Saccharomyces cerevisiae S288C: one gene and its partner. The main gene of each other region encodes a partner of the protein of the gene in region 2 in a complex. Each region holds a gene or a part of one and is shown on either strand. Other genes may lie near its edges. A codon is read from its position in the direction of its gene.

Evidence for each region. The genes of interacting proteins can lie anywhere in the genome.
Region 1: the proteins of NAS6 (region 2) and RPT3 are in contact, whole or in part, in a crystal structure (PDB 2DZO), measured with the Saccharomyces cerevisiae proteins. Residues at the interface, in NP_011748.3 of Saccharomyces cerevisiae: Met11 (codon at 3,721), Gln34 (codon at 3,652), Asp35 (codon at 3,649), Arg37 (codon at 3,643), Trp42 (codon at 3,628), Ser45 (codon at 3,619), Phe46 (codon at 3,616), Ser71 (codon at 3,541), Trp73 (codon at 3,535), Ile78 (codon at 3,520), Ser81 (codon at 3,511), Val82 (codon at 3,508), Gln106 (codon at 3,436), Leu113 (codon at 3,415), Gly116 (codon at 3,406), Lys117 (codon at 3,403), Phe139 (codon at 3,337), Gln141 (codon at 3,331), Arg146 (codon at 3,316), Ser149 (codon at 3,307), Gln173 (codon at 3,235), Trp175 (codon at 3,229), His180 (codon at 3,214), Glu184 (codon at 3,202); in NP_010682.3 of Saccharomyces cerevisiae: Pro364 (codon at 3,090), Glu365 (codon at 3,093), Ala366 (codon at 3,096), Asp367 (codon at 3,099), Asp369 (codon at 3,105), Ser370 (codon at 3,108), Ile372 (codon at 3,114), Ile373 (codon at 3,117), Arg374 (codon at 3,120), Asn375 (codon at 3,123), Asp376 (codon at 3,126), Ser377 (codon at 3,129), Lys397 (codon at 3,189), Arg399 (codon at 3,195), Tyr400 (codon at 3,198), Val401 (codon at 3,201), Leu403 (codon at 3,207), Gln404 (codon at 3,210), Ser405 (codon at 3,213), Glu408 (codon at 3,222).

What each region holds. Positions count from the first base shown.
Region 1 is NC_001136.10:1,259,681-1,264,872, forward strand, and holds RPT3 (proteasome regulatory particle base subunit RPT3), read left to right. Parts: upstream 1-2,000; coding exon 2,001-3,287; downstream 3,288-5,192. Other genes in the region: transcriptional regulator SPT3, read left to right, coding at 1-29; SHE9 (She9p), read left to right, coding at 221-1,591; SXM1 (Sxm1p), read left to right, coding at 3,644-5,192. UniProt on the Saccharomyces cerevisiae protein: The 26S proteasome is involved in the ATP-dependent degradation of ubiquitinated proteins. The regulatory (or ATPase) complex confers ATP dependency and substrate specificity to the 26S complex.
Region 2 is NC_001139.9:952,087-957,710, reverse strand, and holds NAS6 (Nas6p), read right to left. Parts: upstream 3,752-5,624; coding exon 3,065-3,751; downstream 1-3,064. Other genes in the region: PHO81 (Pho81p), read left to right, coding at 1-3,037; prohibitin subunit PHB2, read left to right, coding at 4,231-5,163; BNS1 (Bns1p), read right to left, coding at 5,404-5,624. UniProt on the Saccharomyces cerevisiae protein: Acts as a chaperone during the assembly of the 26S proteasome, specifically of the 19S regulatory complex (RC) and appears to have an overlapping role with RPN14.

The DNA.
Region 1 (5,192 bases), on a different chromosome or scaffold from region 2:
GACTCAGTTCTAAACCAATTATCATGTAAATTTTTGTATAATTTCATCATGGAGGTGCATGGGTTTCCTTCTGGTATGATAAATGTGAGCCAAATGAATTGAAAAATACAAATAAAGATTATGTACGTAGATACGCGTTATAAAGAGGACTATCTGATCATTGGGGTCTTTTTCGTTGTGAAATTGTAACGGGTGAACTCAGTGATTAAAAAATTGCGTGATGTTGAGATACTATGGGGCGACAAGAAACTTACCCTTAGTATTCAGCATTAACAAATTAATGTTGAGGGCGTCATCTTTCACCAGGCCATTTCATTATAGTTCATATTCTCTACAGAACGGTGATACTCCTGATAAAGGCAGCACTAATAAAAATGAAATACGGACACCTAATAACGCTGTTTGGAAAGAAAATATAGAACTTCAATGGCAGCACTTGAAAAAGAAATTAAATGAATTGTATTCTAGGTTTAACTTCCACCGAGATCAATTATCCTTTCAAGTTAACAAGGCCAAAAAATCAATTCAAGAGGCAAACAGGAAGTTGTCTGAGCAAGAGAATGAAATCAACGATTCCCGTTTAAACTATAATAAAGATGAATTGACCAGTGCGAAAATTGAAGGATTGCCCTCCGAAAGGGAACAACATAGAAAAAAATGGTCTAGAAAGTTAGAGTTTTATTTTGACTCATTACAGGAGACGTTATTTACTGCCACACGTGCTTTAAATGATGTGACCGGTTATTCTGGAATTCAAAAGCTCAAATCTAGCATCAGTCTAATGGAAAAAAAATTAGAAGCTACAAAGAAAGAACACAAACTGTTTAAGGCACAGTACGCTAACGCCATTGATGAACGTGCTCAATCCCAAAGAGAAGTTAACGAATTATTGCAAAGGCAAAGCGCGTGGTCTTCGAGCGATTTAGAGAGATTTACGCAGCTATACAAAAATGACGCCTTGAATGCTAGACAGGAGCAAGAACTAAAAAACAAGGTTAAAGAAATTGAAAGCAAAGAAGAACAACTAAATGACGACTTGTATAGAGCAATTTTGACCAGGTACCATGAGGAACAAATATGGTCAGACAAAATCCGAAGAACATCCACCTGGGGTACATTCATCTTAATGGGTATGAATATATTCTTGTTTATTGTCCTACAATTACTATTAGAACCTTGGAAACGGAAAAGGTTAGTAGGATCGTTTGAAGACAAAGTCAAAAGCGCTCTCAACGAATATGCCAAGGAGCAGAATATGAAGATGGATAAATTGTTACCTGGAAAATCATCGGAAGTAACAGACCAAGGCAACACAGAAAACTCGATCGTTGAAGAGCACATAGAACAGAGAGGTGAATGTAAAATTAATACGGCGGAAATCGACAGGCCTGAAGTTGCAACGGCTGAGACCACTACAACAGAAATGAAATCCTTCAGAGATATTTGGGAACGAATAAAGGCACTTTTTGTCACACTAAAAAGCATACAATATAGGAAACTTGACGCTCCCCTAGTCTTTGACACCTTAGAGTTCTACTTATACTCAATTTCTTTAGTGAGTATGACAATCTTGGTATCCGGGCTGATATGACATGATATACTGCGCAAGAATATCGTTAAAAAAACACGCATGCATTTTTTTCATCCTTTATCCTTGTACATAATAAAATCATAAATACACAGTAAATAGCACGTTTTGGTTTCAATATCCTTAACCTTACCTAGCTAATGTTTAGCTGGTGTAATCCATTATAATCAAAATTTCTCTAATGTTTGGCTCTTCGTAGCGCGCGATGTGCCCTTTCATATTTTTCCTGAAAGTAAGGTGGCAAAATAGTAAATCTGCAGTAATTGGGTATAGCCATGAATATAGGAAGTAATAGGGCTCAGATTCTCAGTGTGTGGACAAACCAATTCTGCCTATTTCCTTTCACTCATAAGTTATACAAGAGGCAATCGGATAAAATTCAAGTATTTATAAAGTAAAAACCACAACAAGAATGGAGGAACTAGGTATTGTGACACCTGTCGAAAAGGCAGTCGAAGAAAAACCAGCCGTCAAATCATACGCATCATTGTTGGCTCAACTCAATGGTACAGTCAACAATAACAGTGCCCTGTCTAATGTGAATTCTGATATATATTTCAAATTGAAGAAATTAGAAAAAGAGTATGAACTGCTGACTTTGCAAGAAGACTATATTAAGGACGAACAACGCCATTTGAAACGTGAATTGAAGAGAGCTCAAGAAGAAGTAAAGAGAATCCAGTCGGTTCCATTAGTTATCGGGCAATTCTTAGAACCTATTGATCAGAACACAGGTATTGTTTCTAGTACCACAGGTATGAGTTATGTCGTTAGAATATTATCAACCCTAGACCGTGAACTATTAAAGCCATCTATGTCTGTAGCTTTACATCGTCATTCAAATGCTTTAGTTGACATCCTACCACCTGATTCCGACTCTAGCATATCCGTAATGGGCGAAAACGAAAAACCTGACGTCACTTATGCAGATGTTGGTGGGTTAGATATGCAAAAGCAAGAAATCAGGGAAGCCGTAGAGCTGCCATTAGTTCAGGCTGATCTATACGAGCAAATCGGTATTGACCCTCCTAGGGGTGTTCTATTATATGGTCCACCAGGTACCGGTAAGACGATGCTTGTTAAAGCCGTCGCCAATAGTACAAAAGCTGCATTCATAAGAGTTAATGGCTCCGAATTTGTTCACAAATATCTTGGTGAAGGTCCAAGAATGGTTCGTGACGTCTTTAGACTCGCCAGGGAAAATGCTCCATCCATTATATTCATAGATGAGGTAGATTCCATTGCCACAAAGCGTTTTGATGCTCAAACGGGTTCCGATCGTGAAGTACAGCGTATCCTGATTGAGTTGTTGACACAAATGGATGGTTTCGATCAATCCACCAACGTTAAAGTCATCATGGCTACAAACAGGGCAGACACATTGGACCCAGCTTTGCTGAGACCAGGCAGATTAGATAGAAAGATTGAGTTTCCCTCACTTCGTGATAGGCGTGAACGTCGTTTGATTTTCGGTACCATTGCCAGTAAGATGTCCCTTGCCCCAGAAGCGGACTTAGACTCGCTTATTATTCGTAACGACTCTCTATCAGGTGCTGTTATTGCAGCGATCATGCAGGAAGCTGGTTTAAGAGCAGTGAGGAAAAACAGATATGTCATCTTACAAAGCGATCTGGAAGAAGCTTACGCCACTCAAGTCAAGACAGATAATACCGTCGATAAATTCGACTTCTACAAATGATTACCATATATGCTTCAACGTAGGTCTACATAAAGTATTACGTACATTTCTATCTAGACAACACTAAATGAAATAAATACAGACGCCACTTTTTTATCACGTTTCTTAGCGTTATTCCGCGCGCAACCGGACGTCGCTAGCCAAGTTTTTCACTTTTTTTTTTCTGTGATATTTTTTTTTCCAAATGAGATGGTAAGATGAGTACCTATCAACAAGTATCTCAATCAATAAAGTACAACCAAAATATCAAGTACGCAGTCTCTGCTTCATCCCAGTGTAGATTTGCTATTCGATTTGTGTCATAAACATTTAACATTGCGCCCGTCTACAACAAAGGAGATAAATCAAAAAAGGAAATGGTACAAGAACAGGCAATTTTGAGCTGCATTGAGCAGACTATGGTTGCTGATGCAAAAATTATCAAAGAGGCAGAACAGCAGTTATTTGAGTTCCAGAAGCAACCTGGGTTTACTTCTTTTCTGCTTAATATAGTGTCTGATGATAATTTTGCGCTAAATGTTCGTCTTTCTTCTGCTATTTATTTGAAGAATAAGATTCACAGATCATGGGATACTAAGAGAGAAGATGGTATAAAAGCTGACGAAAAGCTTTCGATCAAGGAAAGGTTAATCGAGACTTTAGTTAAAAACTGTGAAAATAACCACATTAGGCCTATCCTGACTGAAACCATAAATGGGATACTTGTTGGTCAGGAAGATTGGGATTTAGCACCTATTATCAAGAATTTATTATCGAGCGGTGACGCATCGTACATTTATCCCGGGTTACTACTACTGTTCCAACTTTGTAAAGCTCATAGGTGGGACATGGTTGGGTCGAGAGATTATATTGATTCTGTTATCGAAGAACTTTTCCCTATTGTGGAAGGGATAGCTTCTAATATCGGTAGTCAAACGGATTACAGATCTAATGAAATATTGTACCTCATTTTGAAGTCATTCAAGTATGCATGTTTGAACAACTTGCCTCAATACTTCAGCCAACCTGAAAGAATTATGTCATGGGTGCAACTACATTTGTATTTATGTTCCAAACCATTACCAGTCGAAGTAATGGAACTGGATCCCGCAGATAGGTCCCTAGACAAAAGGGTTAAAGTGAACAAATGGGGGTTCGGTAACTTAAACAGATTCCTGCAAAGATACAACAAAATTACAAAGGCCATCACCAAGGAATTTATCGACTATATCTTCAATACTATTGTTCCTATAATTCTTCGAGAATTTTTTAAGGATATTGAAGCTTGGGGTAATAATTCACTATGGTTATCCGATTCCTCTTTGTATTTCTTAATTTCATTCCTAGAGAAATGTGTTACAATAGATCAACTTTATCCTTTAATTGAGCCACATTTACAAATTATTTTTGAGAACGTCATCTTCCCATGTTTGTGTGCTAATGAACAATCCATCGAATTATTAGAAGATGACCAAGAGGAATATACCAGGCGTTATTTTGACATTAACAGAGAAGGCTCTACGCCAGATGCTGCTTCAGCAGATTTCATATTCTTGATTGGGTCCAAACGTCCTGAGAAACTGAACAATATTTTACCGTTCATTAATGATATTTTTACTAGATTCGATGCCAATTCCAGTGATATTAACATGGCATTTAAAGAAGAGGGTGCTTTGAGAACATTGTCTAACTTGTTTTCGTTTATAGATGAGCCATCCGTTCTGGAGAATATTTTTGGACACTTCATCGTGCCATTGTTATCGCAGGATAAGTACATGTTTTTGGTTGCAAGAAGTTTGGAAACGATAGCGCTGTATTCGGAAGAATTTAAAGATATGAACATATTGTCACAATTATTTGAGTTAACATATACCAACTTCTTAAACAGTAACGTTTTACCAGTCCAAATTGAGGCCGCAGATGCCA
Region 2 (5,624 bases):
CCTTGCTACTGTTGTTTCCATTCAACCAATTTTTACCAGAGATGGGCCACTAAAATTAAACGATGAAACTTTACATATTCTCTTAGAGCTGAATGATATTGACAACAACAATAGAAGGGCAGACATACAATCCAGTACGTTTACTAATGACGATGATGACGACAATAATACCAGCAACAATAATAAACACAATAATAATAATAACAATAATAATAACAACAACAACAACAACAATAATAATAACATATTACACAATAATTATGAATTAACAACATCAAAGATTTCGGAAAACCAACTTGAACATCTTTTTCAAGCATCTTCCTCCTCCTTGGACATGGAGATGGAAATCGAAAACTGGTATAAGGAAATTTTGAATATAGCCACGGTGAAAGATGTTCAAAGAAAGCATGCACTACTAAGAAACTTCAGAGAAACCAAGATATTCACATATCTGCTACAAAATTCCTCAGAATCTTTTCATAAAAATGTCTTTTCTTTGTTGAAGGAGTGCTTAACGACGCTGTTTTTATTACTGGTGGCTAGTCCTTTGGACGATAACTCTCTGCATATTTTCTATAAAAGCAATCAGGATCATATTGATCTGTCATATTGTGACGAAGATGATCAAGTATTTTCACGAAAAAACGTATTTCACGAGGCTGCAAGTTGTCCAGAAAAATCACGCTTATTTATTCTAGATGAGGCTTTAACAACATCAAAGTTATCTAAAGAAACAGTACAAAAACTACTGAATGCCCAAGATATACATTCGCGGGTGCCGCTACATTATGCTGCAGAGCTAGGAAAACTGGAATTTGTTCACTCGTTGCTAATCACCAATCTTTTAGAGGACGTTGATCCCATTGATAGTGATTCTAAGACACCCTTGGTTTTGGCTATCACTAACAACCACATAGATGTTGTTAGGGATCTGCTGACTATTGGTGGTGCGAACGCATCACCCATTGAAAAGCCAATTCTGGATTATAGTAAGAATGTAATCAGCTCTACTAAAGTCCAGTTCGATCCTTTAAATGTTGCTTGTAAATTTAATAATCATGACGCCGCCAAGTTACTTTTAGAAATTCGGAGTAAGCAAAATGCTGATAATGCCAAGAACAAAAGTTCACAACACTTGTGTCAACCGCTTTTCAAAAAGAACTCAACAGGTTTATGCACTCTTCATATAGTGGCAAAAATTGGCGGCGATCCACAATTAATTCAACTATTGATACGTTATGGGGCGGATCCCAACGAAATTGATGGGTTTAATAAATGGACGCCCATTTTTTACGCTGTTCGTTCAGGTCATTCTGAAGTTATTACTGAACTATTGAAACATAATGCACGTCTGGATATTGAAGATGACAACGGCCATTCGCCACTTTTTTACGCCTTATGGGAGAGCCACGTTGATGTTTTGAATGCACTTTTACAAAGACCATTAAATTTGCCATCTGCACCCCTGAATGAAATAAATTCGCAGTCTAGTACGCAACGCCTTAATACAATAGATTTAACCCCAAATGATGACAAATTTGATTTAGACATTCAAGATAGCATTCCGGATTTTGCTTTACCACCGCCAATCATTCCACTAAGGAAATATGGTCATAATTTTTTGGAGAAAAAAATTTTCATCAAATTAAAGTTGAGGCCAGGTCTCGAGTCTATCAAGTTGACTCAGGATAACGGCATTATTATGTCATCATCACCAGGCAGAATTACTTTATCCTCAAACTTACCTGAAATAATACCGCGAAATGTTATTTTACCTGTTAGATCTGGCGAAATTAATAACTTTTGTAAGGATATCAGTGAAACAAATGATGAAGAAGATGATGATGAAATTAGTGAAGATCATGATGATGGAGAGATAATTTTCCAAGTAGATTCAATCGACGATTTTTCAATGGATTTCGAGATATTTCCTTCATTTGGCACAAGGATAATTGCCAAAACAACGGCAATGCCATTCCTTTTCAAGAAGGTGGCAATAAATAGTATTGCAACCATGAATTTACCCTTATTCGACACAAGACTAAATAATATTGGATCTCTCACTTTGGATTACCAAATTATTTTTCCTTATCCGGGAAATCCACTGAAAATCATAAATTATGAGCCGTATTGGAAATCTACAGGAAGTGATTTAATGACCTCTAGTAAAGACGGTAATTTTGTTACTTCTTCATCGTTGAATGGCAGTTTTATTAGTGTATTAGTTTGCGCTCTGAATGATGAAACCATAGTGGCTGCGCCAAAACCATACGTTGAATTCAAAGGCACGAAGATTCTGTTAAATGATTTAACGAAAGAACAATTGGAAAAGGTAGTGGATTATGACTTCGGTAAAATTGATGGAAGCTTCGATGAAGTAACATTGAAACAATACTTATCTTCGAGAGTGGTGCCTCTCAGAAGCCTACTAGAAGTTATTCCCGGGTCAGCCCAGCTGGTAATTCGTGTATATTTTCCTACAGATAAGGAAATTGACACAATTCCCATCAAAATATCGCCATTTATAAATATCAATCAATTCATTGATAAGCTTTTACTAATCATTTTCGAGCATGAACGTTTTTTGCGTCACAGCGGAAGTGGGAGTATGCGCCAAATAGTTTTCAGTTCATGCAATTGGGAAGCTTGCTCGATCCTTAACTGGAAACAACCCAATTTTCCGGTTTTGTTGCAAATGAAAAATCTACTCAGAGATTCAACCACAGGCAAATTTGTAGGTGATACTCCTAATTGTTTAAAGGAACTGGCCGTAAATCCTCAAAAAATGTCGTATTTAAACACGGAACTAATAAACATACATACAATGGTTCAATTTGCTATGAACAATAATTTGTTAGGTGTAACGCTTCCATATGAAGTACTGAAGATATGCCCGTCGTTGGCTAGGATCATCAAACAAAACGGACTACTGTTGATTGCATCGGTCGGGGAAAATGACCAAATACCAGCTGATGGAGGTTACAGCGGGATCTACTACGCTTGTGAGTTGCTTTTTGAGAATAATATTGATATGTAAAGTTCTGTAATATGTAGTTTTGAAATCTTATACATTATTTAGGAAAAACTTTTTAACCTGTTCATTAAGGGCAACATCTTCTGCCTTAGCGCCTTTATTATCTACAAGATCATATTCTGCACCATACTTTTCCACCAACAATACAGCTGCGTCACCGTGCCCTTCAGCCAAAGCATGAAATAGTGGGGTCCAACCCTGCTTATCCTGCCAATTTACAGCGCTTTTGCCCAAACCGCATAATAGTTCAATTAATTTCAAAGAACCCACCGACGCAGCTCTATGCAATGGAATTTGATTAAATTTATCTTTAATTCTTACGGACGCACCATTTTCAATTAAAAATTGGGATACTTCAAACCATTTCTTACCAACTGCCAAGTGCAAGCATGTAACTCCTTGATTGGTTATCTTATTTAGATCAGGCTTTAGAGGTCTGTCGTAAAGAGACTTTACCACCTCCAAATTCCCCACTGAACAAGCAATATGGAAAGGTGTCCATCCAGAATCATCTGGATAATCATCTAAGTTAACATTTTCCATTTTAGAAAGCAAAAAACTGGTAATTTCATGTGCTTGGAAAGAAACTGACCAGTGTAAAGGGATTCTGCCATCCTGGTCCTTCTGTAGCAACAAGGAAGGTTTGGAGTGTAGCAGCTCTTGTACCTTGAAAAACTCATTTTCCATGCAGGCTTGATGCAAAGGATAATTAGACATGGTTATACAGTTTTAAGGGCATGCATTTATGTAGCATTTATTATCACAGCTTCAGCTGATCGTTCTTTAAAGAACCCTTTTATGAAGGGCCCTTCGATCATACTTGACAGCCGGGTAAGAGAGATATTCTTTGTATAGAAATGAAATCAGATTACATAAAGCAGTGTGCAATTTGAGTGGCCCCATTTAAATACTTTCTACTTCCTCTATTGCTATGAGTAATACTGCGATGTGGCCGTATCCGTTTAGTCGATATTTTAATAGCTTGCATGTAATTGTGTTGCATAATCACTATCAACGACATAGAGTGGCAAACTTTTCTTGTATCGCTCATTTTGGCATCTAAGGGAAATAATAGCAAAAAAGGGCAATTCATAAACCATAAAGGACATCAGAAGAGTTTTACAGGGGAGGTTGTATTTTAGTAGCTCACGAAATAAAAGCAAGCGGCTGCTAGAAAAGAATATAATTTAGTGCTGATGAATAGATCACCTGGTGAGTTCCAAAGGTACGCAAAGGCGTTCCAAAAACAATTGTCCAAGGTACAGCAAACCGGAGGCAGAGGTCAAGTGCCTTCACCAAGGGGGGCATTTGCAGGCTTGGGAGGTTTGCTTTTACTCGGAGGTGGTGCACTGTTCATTAATAATGCACTGTTCAATGTAGATGGTGGTCATAGAGCCATTGTTTATTCCAGAATACATGGTGTTTCCTCTAGGATATTTAATGAAGGTACTCACTTCATTTTCCCTTGGCTTGACACACCAATTATTTATGATGTGAGAGCAAAACCTCGTAATGTTGCTTCTTTAACAGGTACCAAAGACTTACAAATGGTGAATATCACCTGTAGAGTACTTTCAAGACCGGATGTGGTGCAATTGCCCACCATATACAGAACCTTAGGTCAGGATTACGATGAAAGAGTGTTGCCTTCCATTGTTAATGAAGTTTTAAAGGCTGTAGTGGCCCAATTTAATGCGTCACAATTAATCACTCAAAGAGAAAAAGTTTCCAGGTTGATTCGCGAGAATTTGGTTCGTCGTGCAAGCAAATTCAATATCCTACTGGATGATGTTTCTATTACGTACATGACTTTTTCGCCAGAGTTTACGAACGCTGTAGAAGCAAAGCAAATTGCCCAACAAGATGCTCAAAGGGCTGCATTTGTAGTTGATAAAGCCAGACAAGAAAAACAAGGTATGGTAGTGAGGGCACAAGGTGAAGCCAAATCCGCCGAACTGATTGGTGAAGCCATCAAGAAATCAAGAGACTACGTGGAATTGAAAAGATTAGATACAGCCAGGGACATTGCAAAGATCTTGGCTAGCTCTCCAAATAGAGTCATCTTGGATAATGAAGCATTGTTGCTAAATACCGTAGTGGATGCAAGAATCGATGGAAGGGGCAAATAAATAGCGAAGGCTAGATATTATCTTTAAGAATTGAGTAACAATGTTAAGATGCCATATACTTGTGAATACAAAATAAAGGGAAAGAAAGCGATGCGTAAAACATAAATATTTGTATGTCTTCTAGAATAAGAATAAGGAGTATTACCCCGTATCATCTTGTATTGTTGGAGAACGTATATAGTATAATATGTAACACATACAGCAAAAAAATAGGCCAATTTATGATCATCATCCGTTAAATTAAATGTCTACATTCGGCTTGCGTGGTATATTCTGTTTGCCCCGCACAAACTCCAGTGTTTTGGGTTGCGATTTGGCTGAGAAAAGTTTTGACTTGTGATCATTCAGTTTTCTAGAGCATGGTGAAAGCAAATTGTCTGACGGCGACGCAAATTTTTGCCTAAGTTGCGTGTTCAAGTTTTTCCTTTGATCTTCCACTGCTTTTCTTTTCCGATACGTAT